Linked DNA regions of Nothobranchius furzeri. The main gene of each other region encodes a partner of the protein of the gene in region 2 in a complex. Links are inferred from orthologs where the notes say so. Each region holds a gene or a part of one and is shown on either strand. Other genes may lie near its edges.

Region 1 (4,896 bases), on a different chromosome or scaffold from region 2:
AGGTCAACCTGTAGAAACTGTGGAGACATATAAATATCTCGGGGTGTACCTCGACGATAAGTTAAACTGGAAAAGGAACAGTGATGCTGTTGTTAAAAAGGCCCAGTCCAGATTGTTTTTTCTTAGGAAGCTAAGATCCTTTGATATAAGTAGGAGGCTCTTGAATGTGTTTTATCAGGGGATTATGTCCAGTGTGTTGTTTTATGCTGTGTTGTGTTGGGGCAGGAGCCTCATTGCTGAGGACAAAAACAGGATCAACAAAATGATCAAGAAATCTGGCTCAGTGGTTGGGCAACGCTTGGACTCATTTGACATGATCATCGACAAAAGGATTAAGCGTAAACTTAAGACAGTTATGACTCTGGAGGATCACCCCCTTCACCACATTTTTAAGGATCTCGGGAGCTCTTTCAGTGGGCGAATGTTAACGCCCCGGTGCTCCACTGAACGTTTTAGGAACTCTTTTATTCCAGCTGCAGTGCGTTTTTACAATGACCATTTCGTATGATTGTATATTTGATATTTTCATATTTTATTAGGACCAGTGAATGTTTTATTGTGTGGATGTGCATGTTGTGTTTACTTGTCCAAGGCAATTCAATTTCCCCCTTGGGGATTAATAAAGACAACCTTGAACCTTGAACATCGGGGCTCTCCTGATAAATTCCTGCTTGACAAAGCGCTCCCCTCCTCTCCCGGCTCCACGAACGATTCTCAAGTGGATTCAATCGCCTCTAATCCAAGCGAGCATCGGCAGTCAATGCTAACGATTGTCCATAGGCAGCCCCGATTAATCGATGCTAGACAAATGAGAACAGGACAGATCCTCATTCTTCTTCCAGATGGAGAAATAATTACTCATTCATGACTAAAGATATCAGAACTAAAATAGAGACCATGAGCTGTTTGAACAAAGCCGTAGAGTTGGCGCTATTTAATGTTTCTTTGGCAACGATCTTGTTTTTCCACATATTTTATTAAAGTTTCATTGTTTATGTGTTGTTTTCTTGTTCTGCTCCAGAGTCTGGATGTTTAGAGACCGGAGGACTTCATTATAAACAGCTTAACAAATCAGACTTTATTAAAATGATCTCAGACTGACAAAAACATGAAGTAGAAAACAAATCCAACATGTTATTTATAAAAAATACAAACAGAAACAGAACAATCGAGGTTCTGCAGCTTCACCACTCATCACGCCTCCCAGAACACGACAGCAACAGAACTGAGCTGTACTGTGATGGGTTGCCATGGAGACAGCAGGGTTCAAAGGTCAGTGTACAACAGAGTTGAGCGGCTCAGCTCTGATGTTCCCTAAATCCAGCGTGGAGTCGGTCTCCTCATCAATCTCCCCGATCACGGCGCTGGAGCAGAAACACGAGAAACGGTTAGAAGCTGTCCGAGGAGCAGCCGAGCTCCCCGTGCACCGGGACGTCCTTAGGGGTCATCATTTCTCATTTAGTTTTAGTTTGACCGAGGTGACTCACACGTTGTCTCCTCTAACGATGTAGAGGCCCAGCACCACCTGCTCCACCCCCTGGTTGGAGCTGAACACGCGCTCGTGGCTCTCATCCAGGATCAGGTTGATGGTCTGATCAAAGCCCTTCAAAGTGCCCTGAACACCCAAATGATAAATAAATAAATATAAATAAATAAGTACAGCACCTTTCAGTCAGAGGATTCCAAAGCAACTTAATATTATTATTCATCAACACGCTGGTGGTGTTGAGCTACAATGAATCATACTTAAAACAACCAGGCTAATAAAATACTAATAGTTCAGATTACACTTGAACTTTTATTTCAAAATGATTTTCAGTTATCTGCAGTTTTATGCCCCAAAACAGTAAAAATCTGACCATAAAAGTAAAAACGTGTCTGTCAGCATCTGTAGTGATGGGAACAGGACTAGATTTCTGGATTTACAGTCGAGGGAAAAACTAAATCCCCTGTGACCGACACCGGTTTAAATGAGGCTTCGGTTCAGGTGGAGGGGAAATCCTTGTGCTGGAGCCTCAAACATCTAAACACCAGAACCGTATCATCTTCTCTGCTGTCCAGCTGAGCTGAAAACGTGAACTCACCACGATCATCCTCCCGTCTGAGGTGACGATGGCAACAGTTCCTGGATCAGCTGGAGTCAAGGAAACATCATCTGTGCACAACTCATCAGTAAATTACGTCTAGCTTCTCCGTTTTCACCCGAACAACAACGATGGGTGTGCTTCAGTTAAATAACCCGACATCTTAAATCAGAAACAAACTAAATATATTTTATTCACAACCCGTGAAACCGAACTAACGCAGATCAGAACCGTTAATATCTACGTTTTGACGCCATCTGATCATATAAAATTCTATCAGTGATTTTTTTTTATGCAAACACTGATTTGAAATTGAACTGCTACGTAAAAGTTATTCCAGGTATGTTCATTCAGTTCTAAATAAAAATGAGTAGTTTTTTTGTCGCTTTAGCTTTTACCGTCTCTAAACTCCACCTAAACAACAACAAATTACATAAACATCGAAGCTAGCGCGCTAAGCTAACTAGCACTTCTTAAGCATGCAGTTAGCATGCTAGCAGCAAGATACGGTTGATGTAGCTCTCCAGCGCGGTGGACATGCTTCGTCCCGGACTCGGTCTCTATCTGTCCAGCAGAAAAATCGGTAAATCCCTCCAACGGTTGTCTATTTGCGCCGCTGTGTAAAAAAATAAAACGGAAAGAGCATCAAACCGCACCGCACCAAAACACCGGAGACAAGTCAAGACTAATCATACGCCGAATCATCGCGCAGGAAGGGGCGCGGAGGGTCGAGCGGTGACGTTTTTTTTATTCAAATTCCTCCAAATGTTATCATCAAACATTGATCTGGAAAGTTGTTTAAACGTGTGAGTAGGTGATGTCAGAGCTACAACCCTAAAGACAAAATATTGGGTACAGAAATGAAACACACTATAGCCCTATCAGTGGCGCATTTAGCAATTTGGGGCCCAAGGCGAGCACAGACATGGGGCCCCCTTAAAATAAATTTCGGCAATCTTACTTTTAATTGGATTTACAAAACTCTCCCCTCTTCTGCCATGAGTTATTTTCCCTTTTTATTAGTCCTCCTCTTTATTCATGTCTTTCTCTCCCTTTGAGTGCCTCCAATATTTGCTCTGCTTTCTTCTTCCTGTCAGTGCTCCTGAGCTTTTGCCTTTTTTAAATTTATTTTTCATTTTGGTCTACGTTTTCCTCCCTTTAAACATTTTCTATTGTCTTTCCTTTTCTGCTTCCTGATGCTCGAGCATCCGACAGAGGTGGAAAGTAATGAATTACATTTACTCACGTTACTGTAATTGAGTAGCTTTTTTGTATATTTATACTTTTTAAGTCATTTTTAAAATCTGTACTTTTACTTGAGTAAGTTTTTTAAAAAGAATTGTAATTCGCTACATTTTAAATCATATCCGTTACTGAGTAAAAATAAATTATAGGCTTAATAAATTAAAAATATTACGTGAAGCAGCGTCAGAACGGAAAGAGACACCTGCATGAGGACCGCATCTAAACCGGGGGTGTGTGGGGGTGTACACTTTTGCTCAAAGACATCATCAGTTCAGTCGATCAACTCGCTGTTTATCACCTCTCTCCCTCCTCTCCTGTGGTTGGAACCTGCACCTTCGCGCACCAGTGTGACATCATCAGAATTCTGCTCGGTTCGGTAGCGAGACTCGGTTCCGTGTTTGAAATGTGTTTCCCTACCGCTCCGCACGGCAGCGGCAAAATACTGTTTAGTGCTCATAACAAGCGGATTATCAGCGCTTTGCTCATAAACAGAAGAGCTGCAGGCCTCTGTGAGTTAAAACATCATGATACTGTTCAGGTGTAAACATTGTGCTCCATCCCTGTGTTTGAACTCAGAAGTTGCTCCTTGATGCCACAGATATGTGATGATTTAGCTTGTTTCTTTATTTTACTCCAGAATTAGAGATTAAATTATTACTAAAGCAATTCAATGTAGTTAAATTAGTCATGGCGTGCGTGTGTGTGTGTGTGTGTGTGTGTTACACATATAGGACTGCATGAGACAGCGTGGTTTCATCAAATCCATGCATCTCATATCTTGGGTGAAGTAACGGCTCAGGAAAATAACATATATTTCATAAATAATGACGTCTCTGCAGTGTTTATGATAATGTTTTATCTTATCTTTGGTCTGGGAGGTGTAACTTATCATGATACAAGCCTTTTAAAACATGTTAAAGTGTTACAAGAGGAGATAAATGCATGAATTTAAAGTTCATGTTTGGAGGCTCACGCTGGTGAGGAGACACCGTTAGTTCTAGTAACACCTGGGCTCCCAAGGCCTGTTCTGACAGGATGGATGTTACGGGACCCTTAAGGATTCCAGTTGGATGATTGGAGGATTATTTAGGAGGATTGAAATGAACAAACTGATTTCAGTGGTGAAGGGTTAAATGAGTGAGTGAACCCACTGCCAAGGATGAACTCTGCTAGCTTTAAAAATCAGCTGCTCTAAATAAGCATGAAGGTCAGAGAGGATCTCTAGGATGGACATGGATAAAGGAACTGTAATGTAGAGGTAAAGTAGGGCAGGGCCAACGTTAGCAGCTGTCATACGGTCCATCTGACATGTTTGACTGCATTAGGCTTGCTATGTGACAGGTTAGAGCACAGTCTCATGTTAGAGTTTTGTCATGAGGACATTGAGATACCTCACATGCTGATGGCATCTAAAAAAATTATTTTTTCTCAAAATAAAGAATAATTTGAATCACAATTGAAACTTACCATCCTAGAAAAACCTCGTCCAATCAATGTGCACGTCCTGTTCTCACTGATTGGATAGAAATCCTTCCTTCAAGCCGTGCGTGTTTGAGTGTGTGTGTGC
Region 2 (3,900 bases):
AGCGTATGGAAACAATGCTACAGCAAATGTGTGTCGTAACTGAAGCTAAAGGCAATTCAAAGAAATATTAATGTGACTTTTTTTGGCCAGTGTGGTATTTAATATTGTGCCTCAGTGCATTTCCTATAAAAAAATTTGCATTAAAATGTATTACTCTTGGTTTCAGTGTTCATCTCTCACTGGTGTTTGGCTCATACGTCCTTCTACATTTAGTATCACTATTAATTAATGTTATAATGAAGTTTTACAATGATCCAATGAGGCAAAGGTGCAGTCAAGAGCTCTAACTCCCTCTAGTGGAAGATTCCAGGTATGTCATTAAAATGGTATGATTTCCAACATTATGCACAGATTCGTTTTATTTAAAATACTTAACATTTTAAAAAGCCTGTCTACTATCTTATTTTGCATAACCATAATTAAATAAGATCATATATTCATTATATTTATAAACTTATAGCCATATTTTTTAGCCAGTCATTAAAAGCCTTCTAGAATTAAGAGTATTAACAACAGAAAAGCAGGATTTTAAGTTTTACACTCATAAATCTATCAGTCTTATACTTAATGATGTGGTGGAACAGCTTGTACTCATGATAAACATGTTTATTTTATAGGCCTTAGAAGTACTAGATAGACTGGCTCTGTCCAGGGTGAACCCCGCCTGGTTGCCCAGTGACAGCTGGAGATAGGCACCAGCCCCCCGCGACCCTACATGGACAAGCAGGTTCAGAATATATATATATATATATATATATATATATATATATATAAAATAAATTAAAACACTACATTTAAATCTTAAGTAAAAGTTTTTTATTAAAACAGTTACAAGTTGTACAATATTACCGATGTGTTCCACACTGACATATTTCACAGAAATAAGCCTTAAAAAACACAAAACTTAATATTTATGAAGCTACGTTTGCAAAAACAAAAAGTGACATTAAACCCACCATTATCAACAATGTCCTGTTTTACTACCAAAGGTAAACACGCTGAAGAATATTCCTGAACCTTTTGTGTTTTTTGTCTCTTCATTTTGTCAAATGAAAAAATAATAAACTGAACAAAGGAGGATGAAAAAAAATCAGTATCTGTATTTTGTAGAGTAATCCTTGGGAGACACCACCAAACCTCTTCCTTTCCTTGCTCCTCGATACACAGTTTCAACAATATCTATCATCTCCTGTTTGTCCTCGATTATCCAGTTGATCTTGTTATTGTTACCGGTGCCCAAATCAATCATGATGTGTTTGTTCCTGGAAGAGAAAGACAAAAATATCACCTTAAAATATGTTTACTCAGCTGCCCTGTCTATTGCAACATGTGGAACTGGAAGAGCTACCTGAAAAAGAACATGACAGTGCAGGGGTCGTACAACTCGTACATCTTATTGAAATCAGGCACTTCTGTGATGTCCACGAGGTAAATGACAGCAAAGTTCTTCACCTGTAAATAAACAAACCAAGAATGAATTAAACATGGCATTTGGAGCACGCCAGCAGGTAATGTGACGCGACTCCTGAATCTGAGCCAACCGGACTTTATATAATAAAGACAGGAAACAAATCAAACCTTTTCAGCGATGCTGTAAAGAACCTCGTCCATCTTCATACATGTTGGGTCCCAGTCGTGTCCGAAGCGGATGACGAGGACTCGGTCCTCCTCAGACAGGATGGCTTGGTCGACCTGCCATCCATTGTGGAGATGCGGTAACATGTACGACATCTTGACTCAAAAATGAGCAAATTCTAACCTGAAATGGATCAAATAAAGAGTTCAAATCGATCACAGCTGAACATTAAATTAAACAAACATCTCTGAGTACCAGAGAACGGTTTGACCGGCAACAGCTAGCTAGCTAGTTAGCGTTAACCATGGATACAATCTGAAAGACACAATTATGAAACTTCCCACTAAATATTCTGAAACACTTACCCCAAAATATAAAATAGAGTATTTAAGTGGCGGGAAGAAAACGGACTAACTATAGATAAAGCAGCTATGTTCAATGTGACTTCTTTTAAACCCCACGGAAAACAAACGCTTCACGACGTCATCAAATCAGCGACGCAGGAGACGCGTTAAATTTACGTCATAGTCGCTCAATTCGAAAAACTCTTTTAAAAAGTCCCAATTTATTTATTTATTATTTTTTAATGTGAAAGCCGCACACAAAAAATAAAAATTTTAAATAATTAATTATTTGAAATAATTACTTTTCACTCCAGCAAGTACTTTTAAAATAAATATATTTACGTTATGTTTTCCAGCAATATCTTTTTGGATGATCATCTTTTTGGATGATCAACTAGAGAAATACTTCTAGTATTAAATGTATTTCGTATTCATGCATGGAGAACAAACAGATTTTCAAACAGCTCAATAACAAACAGAAATTATGTTTACAGTCTAGATAACATAATTAGAAATTTGCAACATGAATACATTTTTTAGGAAATCTCGGAGCACTCTTTATTTGTAAAGCTTGTTTGCCACACTTCAATTAAAACGTGCACGTGTTGTTTGTGTACTTTACAAAAAAAACTGTTAATATTTGATGCTGTGAAGTATTTCTGATTCTTAACAAGTTCACAAATTTAGAACAATGTGTATATTTGGCACACTTGCTGTAAAATGGATACAGCTTGAAAAATGATTAGTTTGGAGTTTTACTCTGCGTTCAAACTCAAATTCTTCCACAAAAAGAGATTCCAAAGAAAAATTTGTAAAAACCCAACCCTAACTCATCATGCAATGTCAAATACTACGTGTCGTACTTGATTTTTTGCAGGCTTCCTAACACACTTTGTAAATAATAAAATGTAAACCCTTTTCAAGCACTTTAAGATGGAGTTTTTAAATATTTTCCAGCACGTTACACCGGTGTTGCACAGAGACCGTTTATACTTGTTCACAACAATCACGTCACTTTGCTGTCTCATTAAAGGAAACGTCTGCACCATAAAGTCAGTTTCAGTTGTTTTCAAGGACTTATTTAAATGCTGAAGCACTTTTAAAACTTGAAAATACCATTACGAATAAACAAATAAATCATCAATCTTTCAGTCTTACTTAGATTTAGAGACGTTATTTTATTTAAAGTGTGGGTGTACAATTCTAATAGTGGAAAAACACGAAGAAAAAACACTTATTGTGCAATTTACTGCAGTACAATCAAAGAAGAAAAAGATAGTATAAAGGTTAAAGAAAAAACGTTCCAGTCTGACGACATAGCAGCACATTGTGGCACTCCCTAGAGAGAGAGAGTCTAAATGATCATTAGATATGTCTAAAAGTTATATTTTTTTCATTTCATGACTAATTAACCGCATCACTGTGGTAATGAATGACCCAGTGAATGATGAGTTCACCTTTCTCCTGTTAGAAGATTTGGTTTAAGACATGATTGATTAACAAACAGTCATGGTAGCTGACGTGGGATAAAGTTCTAATCTATTCTCCGACTACCATCACCACAGCAATCATCCCTTAAAGCTGACAAAAGGCTTGGTTTATTCGGTTCCATTTGGCTGGTTTTCATATTGCACAACATCCTCACTCTGACCAAATTCGGTCACTTAGCCTAAATTTCCACACACCATACTGGATCTGCAGGCTCCGAGCTGTAAAACCACACCCAGTTCCCCAAGACTGGATCAGGCTCCGGTGTCACACGCTCGCTTCAACACACGACGCATGGAGAGTTCACAAATAGAAGAGACCCCATGTCTCCATCAGTGGTTCTATCAACGTCACATCATATGAAGAAGGTCCATCAGTGTGTTGTTAGGCCACGATAAAAAAAAAAAGGTCATTATAATGTCTTGAGTCCCTGAGGAGAGCTGGATCAGACAGCTTTGGGATTATGGTGATGAACAGGAGCTGCTAGTCTGC
Region 3 (4,703 bases), on a different chromosome or scaffold from region 2:
AAAAAAGTTCAGGAGGGATAGGGGCTGAGTTGAAATGTGTGAAGTGATGAGACTGGACAAGATTTGTCCAATCAGATATTGGCAGGGGGACACAGAGAGATAGATCTGTGTTTGTTATCCAGATCCAGTCAGTGCATAACACACATCTTCTTAATTATCAGCTTATATGAAAAAAAAAAAGTATTTGATAGGTTTGAGGTTTGAAAACCTGGTAGGATCTTGAGGTGTTCCTGCTTTTATAAACAGAACCTTTATTGTGTGGTTTTTGAAAACCGACTAAACTAAAAGGAGCTCATAGTGAAAACCAGTCCTCCAGTTCCCCCTAGTGGACATGTTAAACATTCATGATAATTAAAAGAGGCTGACATTCATCCATCCATTTGCAGCCGCTTATCCAGAGTCAGGTCACGGGTCAGGTCAGCCTAAGCCGAGGCCCAGACTTCCTTCTCCCCAGCCACTTGGGCCAGCTACTCTAAGGGAACCCTAAGGCAGTGCCTGGCCAGCTGACGCAGTCCCTCCAGCGTGTCCTGGGTCTTCTCCAGGTTGGATGTGTCTGGAAAGCCCCTCACTAGGGAGACGTTCAGGGGCAACCTGACCACATGGTTGCTTTATATAAATATGTTCCCACTTTCCTGTTGGACAATAGTGCTTTATTTTGAAACAAATGTTACGCATATGATGTCTTGCATGTTTAGATTTGTTCATAGATTCATGAACTACTGTTCAAAACTTTCCAATAATGTGGTAGAATGTAAATGTTCTTTTGAAACAACTATACAAATAAAACAAAATAAATTGTTACTGACTTTATTTAATATAAAAACCACCAGACCTCAGATCAAACCTCTCCTCTCTCTGACTACATCACTACAGATGATTCGTGAACATATTATCTTCTCCTTATGAAAAGACAAACAATAGAAGACATGTTGGAACCACACAGAACAACCGTGGCAGTGTGCTGCTGTAGAACCGGTATGAGGCCAAGAGGAGAAACTGCACGATGGGAGAATTAGTCCACTGTGACGCCTTCAGGCAGCTCCACCACTACAGGTGCACAGTCGTCCAAATCTGCATCGAAATCCCAACGAAACTTCTTGGTTAGGTGGGTTTTGAACTTCTCTGCCTTCTTTTGTAGGATCCCATCCACACCAGGTCCAGTGGCAAACTGGAAAAAATCCTGCAAGATAAAAAGTCGATTTAATAATCCCCAATGAAGAACACCAGTTTGAGATCAAATAGAAACAAAATATGGGACCCTAATTCTTGCTCTAGTAGATTTTCCATCTTGTAGCTGCTTAAAAATCATTTTGAAAGAAGAAAAAAAAATTGAAGACAGATTTTAAATGAAAATATTACTTAAAGACCTCGTTGAAAGGATTCATGTCCCCTGCTACCTTTTATAGTTTTAAATGAAGGCTGGAAATGCTGGAAAATGATGGATATCCGGTCTGAAATGTACAAGTTGTTTGTTACATTTATAAACAATTTAGGGTCACAAGAAATAAAAACATGATGTTTGTGCCTCTAGTGACAGCTCTTTTCTGATTCAGAAACATTTTGAATATTTCCCTAACATTGTGCGTGCAGCTGTTGCACATCTGCTGTACCTGCAGCGTGCTGGTGAGGAAGTTGTTCTGTGACACAATGTCAACAAAGAAGTCAGGAGGGACTTCTCCGAGCTGGTGGTAGAGCACAGTGATGAGTCCCAGATAGAGCTCCTTCCTCCTCCTCATGGCCTCCTCCGAGCGGCACAGCAGAGCCAGGAGGCTCTTCCAGTGCTCAAAGCCCTCGTACACATTCCCAATCAAGAAACACACAAAAGCAAACTGCAGCTCACCTGGAAGAGATTTGAGATTCAGATATTTAGTTGCATAGGCATTAGGCAGTTGCATTCTTGTAACAGTGCATTAATCTTTGTGACACAAACCAAGCAAGTTTAGAGGCTGGTTCTCGTATTTCTTCTCCAGAACCCCCTCCAGGGCATAGCTCAAGTCCATGCTGCATTTCGTGATCTCAGCTGGAGTAGCCCCAGGAGGGTAGGTCTTTTTGGGAATAACTGAAAAGCGCAGTTCAGTCCCTTCTCTGTGCTTCATTTTGGGAAGCCTGTCCAGTCCCTCTTTCATGCTCTGGCAGGCCGTGTCGTTCCTCGGCTGCTCTGCCCTGTCTTTTGTGTGTCTGAACTGAAGCTCGGGGACGACATCACTGAAGGCGCAGATTCGACCCGTCAGAGGCTGTAAGTCACTGGCCAGCTTCTCGCTGATGTGATCGGTGAGAGACACCCACTTCCTCATGACCTCATAGGGATAAGGGCCCAAGAAGGGATCCAGCTCCCGCAAAGTCCCCCGGATCCTGTTCACTTCCTCTTCATTCCTGGAGGCTGAGAAATCCAGATCTTCTTCTTTGGGATCCCAGTTGGCCAGGAGAATTTCTCTTGGTTTCAGGGTGAGGAAAAGACCCGTTTTAGGACCGATTTCTCCACCACAGCTTGGCGAGTTTACAGAGCAGTAATGGAGGAAGTGTAAACCAGGGGGGATCATCTTAACACCACGAAACCGAGGACCAACCTGCCAGCTTTTGCAGTCAATCCCAAGCTCGGTGCCCTGAGGAACACCCAGCAGAACCAAAGTAGCTCCTTCTTCAAATAACGACCAAGCAACATCTGGATCCATGTTCGAAGAGCTGCTGCTGGCCATCTTTGTTTACTACTAATCTACAAACTATATTTACTGAGAAACATGCGTAAATTCTCTCAGGTGCTACGTGAGCTGTTCATCATTCAAGTGTTTCCGTATTTGAACGCGAATGCTAATTTTAGGGTTTTAAAGTATCTTATTTAAGCAGCGAAGATTATCAATAAAGTAAAAAAAACTAATTACATTTCGAAAAACCCCATTTTACGGTCTACGCGTCCACTTATAAAAACAAACTGTACCTACAGTTACACTAGTGGACGTTCCAAACAACAACGCTGCTATTTCGTTTGCCGGAAATCTGTGTAACAAAATAAATGCTCAGGGTGGAAACAGTGTCTCATTAGAACAGTTCCGCTCTTTTGCACAACTTGGCCTCCAAGTTTTTCTTAATATATCTTTTTAGAAATTTAGGTTTGGGAAAATGAAGCAATAAAAAGATTTTAAAGCAGATTTTTTTCGCAGTGGCAGAATTGATGCTGTAATCGCTTTTGCTATGTAAAAAGCCCAACAATGAGCAAAACTCGCTAAAATAAATTTATAAGACTGTTTAAAAACTATTTATTTTATGTACTCAGGATTAACATTTTCCATTGCAGTACATTTATTTTACATTGCCCTTTAAATTAGTAAGATTATATTCTGGCAAAATTTCATTATAAAATGTTTTACTTATTATTATTGTCAATATTTATGTTGGACTGTTCTATGCAATACCCATTGGAAGGAGTGATTGTGAACAAGACTGATTTGGAAATGTCGAAAATATTTCAATTGGGTTTTTAGCTTAATAAAAAAGACAGCTAGAGGCTGCGAGTTCCTCTCTTGTTAACTCAGACATGTCATGTTTTGTAATAATTTACAGGAAGTGTTTGCGCTAATTAAATTTTTGTGATTGCTCTTTCTAGTCCTCCATCATCCCCAATAAGACAAAAATGGGATGTTTTTCATAATAATAATAATAATAATAATAATAATAATGATGATGATGATGATGATAATGATAATGCAAAAAAGTTTTTTTTAATTGAACTAGACTGTAGTTCATCTCTGTGCCACCAGAGGGCATTAATGTCCCATCTCCTCTTCTCTTTTAAAAGCACCAGTTCCTTTGAATTATTAAAAAAATAATTTGCAATGGCCTTTTGGAATTATCAAAGGTGGGACTCTCTAAATACTAACTAACATTAAGAAGAGAATAATATAAATTATTTTTGTTGTTTTCTTAATATTTTTATGAAGAAAATCTGACATTGAATTCACAGGATAACACACAGAGACACATTTACGTTTGACTCACAAACACATCACATGAGACTTTGAAATGTGCATAATGCTGAATATTTGCATTTAGCTTATTTGTGGTTACAATGAAACTATAACAACATAACAAGGAGCAATGCTAACAAATGCAGAAAGAGCAAGAACACTAATGAGAACTTAACATTCATGTTTATTATCAGCTATCTTTGCAAAAAGGGTCATATCACGGTGCTGTGAATATACTTAAACTGGTGTTTTTGTGAGAAGTTACCAGTCACACCAGACCCTACTTAGATTTGTAGCTGCTCTGAAGTTTTTGCCAACAAGTAATCAGTAATTTGATTATGTTGATGAATAATTTCCTCTTCCTCTTCTTTCCTTGTATTTTCCGAACAGTTGAGCAAGAAGTTGTCTCTGTCTTAAAGAATGCAAGAAGAAACATAAGGCTTGCATTGTCAGTCATTGAAATTAAAGACTATAAACCTGAATTATTAAAGTAATTTTGCTACCAAATAAGTAGGATTGCAGTTTTGAAGGATGAGCTGCTCCATGCTCTCAACTGGCTTCTCCAGATCAGATGTCTGCTTCCCACTCCTCTGACACCTTATCTGCTGCGTCAGACCATAGATGGACACCAGGATGTGACCGACCTGCCAAAAGAAGGAAAAAAATAAAGTTGAGAATCTTAAACAAGTTTTATATTTAACAATGTTGAGGAAGATTTTAATATTTCCTTAAATGTCCTGC
Region 4 (5,158 bases), on a different chromosome or scaffold from region 2:
ATGGTTGTGCTGGGGGAGAACAGGGGCCAGGTGAGCAGATGATCCTTACTGGTTGTGTAATCATAACCGTCGCTGACCAGCTTCTCTGGCTTGATCAGGTGGGCCGGATTCTTCAGCGGGACAAGAACAAGTGCAGAGCCACGGTCCAGCTGGACAGATGCGAGGAGGAGCTGTTCACGCTGGATTACGACTGCATTTGTCACTACGTAGGAGACCACTGAAGCCTGGTCCTTCGCCTCGTCTTAAGTGTTGCTTTTCTAATGATGGACAGTATTTTAACACTTTGGAATTTTTAATAAAACCTTGGAAAAGTGTTTGTGCAGGCGTTCTTACAGTTACGACGAGCCCCAGCAGATGCTTTTCTCACCAGAGTAAGAACTGATTATGTTAACTGGTGGTTCTAGTAACAACATGAAATCCATTTTATTATAAAACATATTTACAACAAGTTTGATCTCTAAAATGTCAGCATGCGACATCACGTCTAACAACAAGAGGTGTGCGCAGGACGCAGAGCGTCTCCGTGGGAGCGCTTCTCATTCCTTGGGCGGTTGGTTGGCAGCGTTGGCCCGCAGCACCGCGCCTGGACTCGGGTACGGCCGCTGCTGGAACAGCGGGCCGGCGGCTGTGGTGTCTGCACCGGTTTTGGCCTCGTTGCGTTTGGGAAGACCACTCGACCAAGAGCCCCTGTGGAAAACAGTTCAGCAGACCTTTAGAGTGGGCCAGCTTGTTTGCTAACGCCTGGTTGTTTAGCTAGCGCTAGAGCCGTTTCAGCTGGTTAACTTGACCGTTTCGTGTATTCAGCAGACGCGTTTGTCCAGAGTGACTCACAAATGAGCGTTTTTACACACAACACAAATGTGTTGGGCTGTTCTGCAAAAAAAACCTAAAGTTCTGACTTCAGTCGACAGGACAAACCACAGAACCCGATCCCTTTAGTACCCGTTTCAGCCAGAAGCCTTCCAGGAATCCACTTGTTGAAAACTACAAATTTTATTCCTGCAAGTGTGCATTAGTGGCATTTCCATAGATGCGGCTAAAGACGCCATCACTATAAAGCCAGGCGTTGAGTTTTGAATAAATAATATGTAAAGAAAGTTGTAATAATGGGTCAAGGTGACAGGTGCAGCTTTTCCAAAACACGGGATTTAGCTGAATTTAAAGCCTAGACTGCAGAAAGCTTGGCCGAAAGAAAAATGATACTAATGAAAGTAGAACGACTACTTTAGAAGACCCCGAGGCTAAAACTGTATAAATCACATGTTTGATTCAAGTAGCTTTAAAGACGTAAATAAAAACATGATCATGCACCAGAGTTCAGTTCCGGCGGGTCCAGCCCAGAGGGTGAAACCGGAGGAGAGGGACTGCAGCGTGTGACTCAGAAAACTGCAGCCACCTCGCTCCCATGAGGTTTCAGAGCCACGTGACTTGGCGCCTGCTTTGCAGTGCCAGCAGCAGTCGTCCAAAGTTTCTACCCAGCATGCATCATGTTACACCGCTGCTGCAGTGCTGTGCATTCAATTAAAGACTTAAATGTCTGCTTTGTTCTTTAACTTACAAAGCTGAAGCTGACATGTAACTGAGTGGAATGACGACAGGGGTAATTTCCTGCCTGCTGCTTGTTTTACTTTACCTGGGAGCATCAGAATAAGCGCTGGGGTCCATGGGGTCCATCTCGTCATCCTTTCTTCCTGCAAACACGATCAGATTTTAACTGTTATTGTATCACAGATAAAGCTTTAACGTGAAAACGAAAGACTTCTGTAAGCATCACCTCTTTTGTTCTTGTTGTATGGTGCCATGTCGTCCCTCCTTTGCTTTCTTCTGTCTCTGTCCCGCCCATCATCTCTGTCCCTGTCTCTGTCCCGATCTCTTTCTCTTTCCCGGTCCCTATCCCTGTCTCTGTCCCTTTCCCGTTCTCTCTCTCTGTCTGGCTTCTCAAACGGTCGCTCTCCTCTTTCATCTCCCAAATCAGCTAAAAACAAATAATAATGCAATTTCTGTGAAAAACATTCCTCGTTTCTTTTTTAAAGACACTTATGCAAAACTGGCGAGTTTAGTTTTTAAACCCACCTTTCATTTTCTTGGCAGCTTTTGTTATCACAGACGAGGGGTCATTTGGGGACAGCCAGGCGACTAGATCCGTCTCAACATTCCAGTAGTAAGGAAGACCACTGAGGGTGGCAGGAAATCAGGAAGAGAAGGCTAATCAGCTTACATACTAAACATGTAAAAGAGACCCAATGACATCGCTTTGTGAATTCACTGGAAAGCTTCATCTGGACTGCAAACACCCAAACACAAGCGCACTGGAGGTAAAACTACCAAAGAACCGTAGATAACCAGTACAGTGTACGTACCAAGCTGGATCAAACACTTTGTACCAGTTTGGAGGAAGATTCTCTGCTCTGGTGGCTTCATAATCTACATTATTGTCATCATAATCTTCGGCAATAATCTCCTCATCTGCACCTGTTATTAAAGGAGAAAATACTGTTACACGACATACGTGTAAAGTCACAGAGAAGGATGCATGGAGCCAGCGTGTTCAAGCCAAATGAGAACCTCGTTCTGTTGGTTTAACGATCCCCCTCTTGGCCAAGCGGGCCAGCAGAGCTGGAGGAAGAGGCATCCTGAAAAACACGAGATGCTGTCACAACAGTCACCTCGAACATCTGTACATGAGGTCAGTGGTTTCATAAATCCACAGCAAAGATACAGAAAATTTACTTGTTTCTCATGTGTTCTGATATTTAAAGTATACAGCCTCAATTATACACAACGGGGTTTATCCCAATAAACAAAACGTCTCTTTACTGCCAAATTACGTACAAAAACGAGTTAATTTATAACAAATAAACATCTGAACAGAAACCTTTCAGATAAAACATTGTAATGAAATATGGAGAACATAAAGCTCCCAACAGCACACGCAGTAAAAGGCGTCGGGCTTTCAATACAATTTGAATAAATGCTGTTCTTACGTTTTCAGTTGAAGTTATGTTCAACATTTGAGTTGTGTTATTTTTAAAGACTTTAACTACAGATGTAGAAACAGTCTGACATTCGTAAAATCTGCATTTATTTGCACGAACAACAAACGTTTACCCGAAGGCTAACCCTGTTAGCAACCGCTGGATGATTAAATCAACAAGCAGACTGCGTAAGTACTTCCATGCCCGGAAGGAACGAAAATCTGAACGTTTACGCTTCAAAACGGGATCCGAACAGGAACAAGTTTACCTGAGATAAAGAAATTCACCCAATAGCAGAGAAAATGATGTTAGCACCGCCAACGCACTAGTAGCGCCGGTCGCACGTGTATGACGTCACAACGTCTAGACGAAAACAAACATGGAGGAATATGTCCGCGAACCTTGGTAAGATTAGTTTGTCTTTAACTGTAAACTAAATACGGCTAACATACATACCAGTGTTGGTTTTTCTAGTGAAACATAAACATGTGAGAGAACAGAGACGCGTTGTGAGTTCTGCTGTCAATCCACGTATATATACGTGCTTACGTTCAATGCAATTCAAAAATACTTTATTAATCCCAGAGGAAATTGATTGCTGTAGTAGCTCAGAATAATAATAATAAACAAGTCATCAAAGAGTTGTTGTATATTACAATGGCTGTTGGCAGGAAGGATCTCCAGTAGCGGTCAGTGTTGCAGCCAAACTGAAGAAGCCTCTGACTGAAGACACTCTTCCGTTGTCGGACAGTCTTGTGAAGAGAACGCTCAGGGTTGTCCATAATTTTCTTGATTCTCTGGAGAATCCTCCTTTGCATTTTCTCCTCCAGCGGTTCCGAAACTGCCGAAACTCTGGCTGAGTCCTTGAAAGGGCTTGGAGTTCCTCCATCTTGTTGGCCAGTGATCTCACATTGCCCGTTATGATCGATGGAAGAGACGGTTTGAATTTCCTCTTTCTCTGTCTCCGTTTTGCTCCCGCTCTGCACCCACGCTTCTTGCGTTTTAGCTCATTTGGGATTTGTGGCTTCAGTTGAGGTATTATTTCAGCCTTTCCAATGTTAATCAGCTGCTCCCGATTGTAAACCAGCTTGTTGCCATGGTTACGCATCATAACAAATGCTCAAAAAGTGTAAAAAGCTAAAAAATAGCAGTAAAAATCCTCCAAGCTTCACAGCACCAGAAACAGAAAAGTAGTGTCCAAAAAAATACCGTTTCTCTTGAGAAACTAGAAGAAAAAATGCCCAAGAAAAGGCAAAACTTACATATAGTCAACAGAGCTACTCCAACATGCAGCCACCCAGAGCAGCGCAGTTCCGTTGACGTCTGTATCCTGATCTGACTGTATATCTTGTATTTTGACGGTGTCTTGTGTGTCCTCCCCTAACCTCCTGCAGCCCCTGGAGGATTGTGGACGACTGTGGAGGAGCTTTCTCCATGGGTGTCATCGGTGGAGGGGTGTTCCAGGCCATCAAGGGCTTCCGAAATGCCCCTGCTGTGAGTTTAAAACAGACTAGTTTGACTTGACTTCTTGGAAGCCTTTATAAACCTGTCTGTAACATTTCAGGGTGTTGGACACAGACTAAGAGGAAGTGCAAAGGCAGTGAGAGTGAGGGCCCCACAGATTGGAGGTTTGACCCGTTGCTGCTCTGCTCCTCACACACCACTGAAGGATTTTGGTCCCTTTCTCTAAACTGAGCTTCAGCACTGACGTGCTTCTTCTACCAGGTAGCTTTGCCGTATGGGGAGGTCTCTTCTCTACGATTGACTGTGGCTTGGTTCGCCTGAGAGGGAAAGAAGACCCGTGGAACTCTATAACAAGTGGTGCGCTGACTGGAGCCATTCTAGCAGCACGCAGTGAGGATAACACTCAACAACCAAACACTAGACAGGAACTCAGTAACTCACCAAATGTTTTGGTTTGCCTCAGGTGGGCCGTTGACCATGATGGGCTCGGCCATGATGGGCGGGGTTTTACTCGCTCTCATAGAAGGTTTTGGCATTCTCCTAACCAGATACACAGCCCAGCAGTTTCAGAACCGTGAGTGCCTTTCCCGTCTCTGTAATATACACCAGGTGCTCAAACTGAACACCTGCAGACATCTTTAAACCACTTTTGGGTTTTAGTTAAGCCATCTGTCGTTTGAAACCGATAACCAGTAGGATACTTGCAGCACGTCCAAGAA

The links.
Region 1: txnl4a (region 2) and lsm8 share a complex: the UniProt entries of both Homo sapiens proteins name them as parts of the precatalytic spliceosome. The link is inferred for Nothobranchius furzeri from reciprocal best matches to the Homo sapiens genes TXNL4A and LSM8.
Region 3: txnl4a (region 2) and aar2 share a complex: the UniProt entries of both Homo sapiens proteins name them as parts of the U5 snRNP complex. The link is inferred for Nothobranchius furzeri from reciprocal best matches to the Homo sapiens genes TXNL4A and AAR2.
Region 4: the proteins of txnl4a (region 2) and pqbp1 are in contact, whole or in part, in a crystal structure (PDB 4BWQ), measured with the Homo sapiens proteins. The link is inferred for Nothobranchius furzeri from reciprocal best matches to the Homo sapiens genes TXNL4A and PQBP1. Residues at the interface, in NP_006692.1 of Homo sapiens: Gly11, Trp12, Val14, Asp15, Ile18, Asp68, Phe69, Met72, Tyr73, Glu74, Met82, Phe84, Asn87, His89, Met91, Gly97, Asn98, Asn99, Asn100, Lys101, Leu129; in NP_001027553.1 of Homo sapiens: Gln241, Gln242, Arg243, Pro244, Tyr245, Pro246, Ser247, Pro248, Gly249, Val251, Leu252, Ala254, Asn255.

What each region holds. Positions count from the first base shown.
Region 1 is NC_091741.1:34,219,003-34,223,898, forward strand, and holds lsm8 (LSM8 homolog, U6 small nuclear RNA associated), read right to left. Parts: upstream 3,249-4,896; 5' UTR 2,624-3,248; coding exon 2,593-2,623; intron 2,126-2,592; coding exon 2,085-2,125; intron 1,616-2,084; coding exon 1,488-1,615; intron 1,365-1,487; coding exon 1,274-1,364; 3' UTR 1,053-1,273; downstream 1-1,052. UniProt on the Homo sapiens protein: Plays a role in pre-mRNA splicing as component of the U4/U6-U5 tri-snRNP complex that is involved in spliceosome assembly, and as component of the precatalytic spliceosome (spliceosome B complex).
Region 2 is NC_091751.1:22,094,384-22,098,283, reverse strand, and holds txnl4a (thioredoxin-like protein 4A), read right to left. Parts: upstream 2,087-3,900; 5' UTR 1,942-2,086; intron 1,760-1,941; 5' UTR 1,732-1,759; coding exon 1,579-1,731; intron 1,453-1,578; coding exon 1,349-1,452; intron 1,263-1,348; coding exon 1,091-1,262; 3' UTR 802-1,090; downstream 1-801. Other genes in the region: E3 ubiquitin-protein ligase znrf2, read right to left, coding at 3,892-3,900. UniProt on the Homo sapiens protein: Plays a role in pre-mRNA splicing as component of the U5 snRNP and U4/U6-U5 tri-snRNP complexes that are involved in spliceosome assembly, and as component of the precatalytic spliceosome (spliceosome B complex).
Region 3 is NC_091755.1:59,903,346-59,908,048, reverse strand, and holds aar2 (protein AAR2 homolog), read right to left. Parts: upstream 2,894-4,703; 5' UTR 2,697-2,893; coding exon 1,931-2,696; intron 1,841-1,930; coding exon 1,611-1,840; intron 1,181-1,610; coding exon 1,013-1,180; 3' UTR 792-1,012; downstream 1-791. UniProt on the Homo sapiens protein: Component of the U5 snRNP complex that is required for spliceosome assembly and for pre-mRNA splicing.
Region 4 is NC_091755.1:41,961,009-41,966,166, reverse strand, and holds pqbp1 (polyglutamine-binding protein 1), read right to left. Parts: upstream 3,355-5,158; 5' UTR 3,244-3,354; intron 2,687-3,243; coding exon of another isoform or gene 2,682-2,686; exon of another isoform or gene 2,634-2,681; 5' UTR 2,633-2,633; coding exon 2,566-2,632; exon of another isoform or gene 2,563-2,565; intron 2,473-2,562; coding exon 2,361-2,472; intron 2,175-2,360; coding exon 2,074-2,174; intron 1,976-2,073; coding exon 1,775-1,975; intron 1,692-1,774; coding exon 1,634-1,691; intron 688-1,633; coding exon 537-687; 3' UTR 399-536; downstream 1-398. Other genes in the region: gpkow (G-patch domain and KOW motifs-containing protein), read left to right, coding at 1-30, 99-221; timm17b (mitochondrial import inner membrane translocase subunit Tim17-B), read left to right, coding at 3,355-3,380, 4,370-4,469, 4,540-4,603, 4,701-4,829, 4,903-5,013. UniProt on the Homo sapiens protein: Intrinsically disordered protein that acts as a scaffold, and which is involved in different processes, such as pre-mRNA splicing, transcription regulation, innate immunity and neuron development.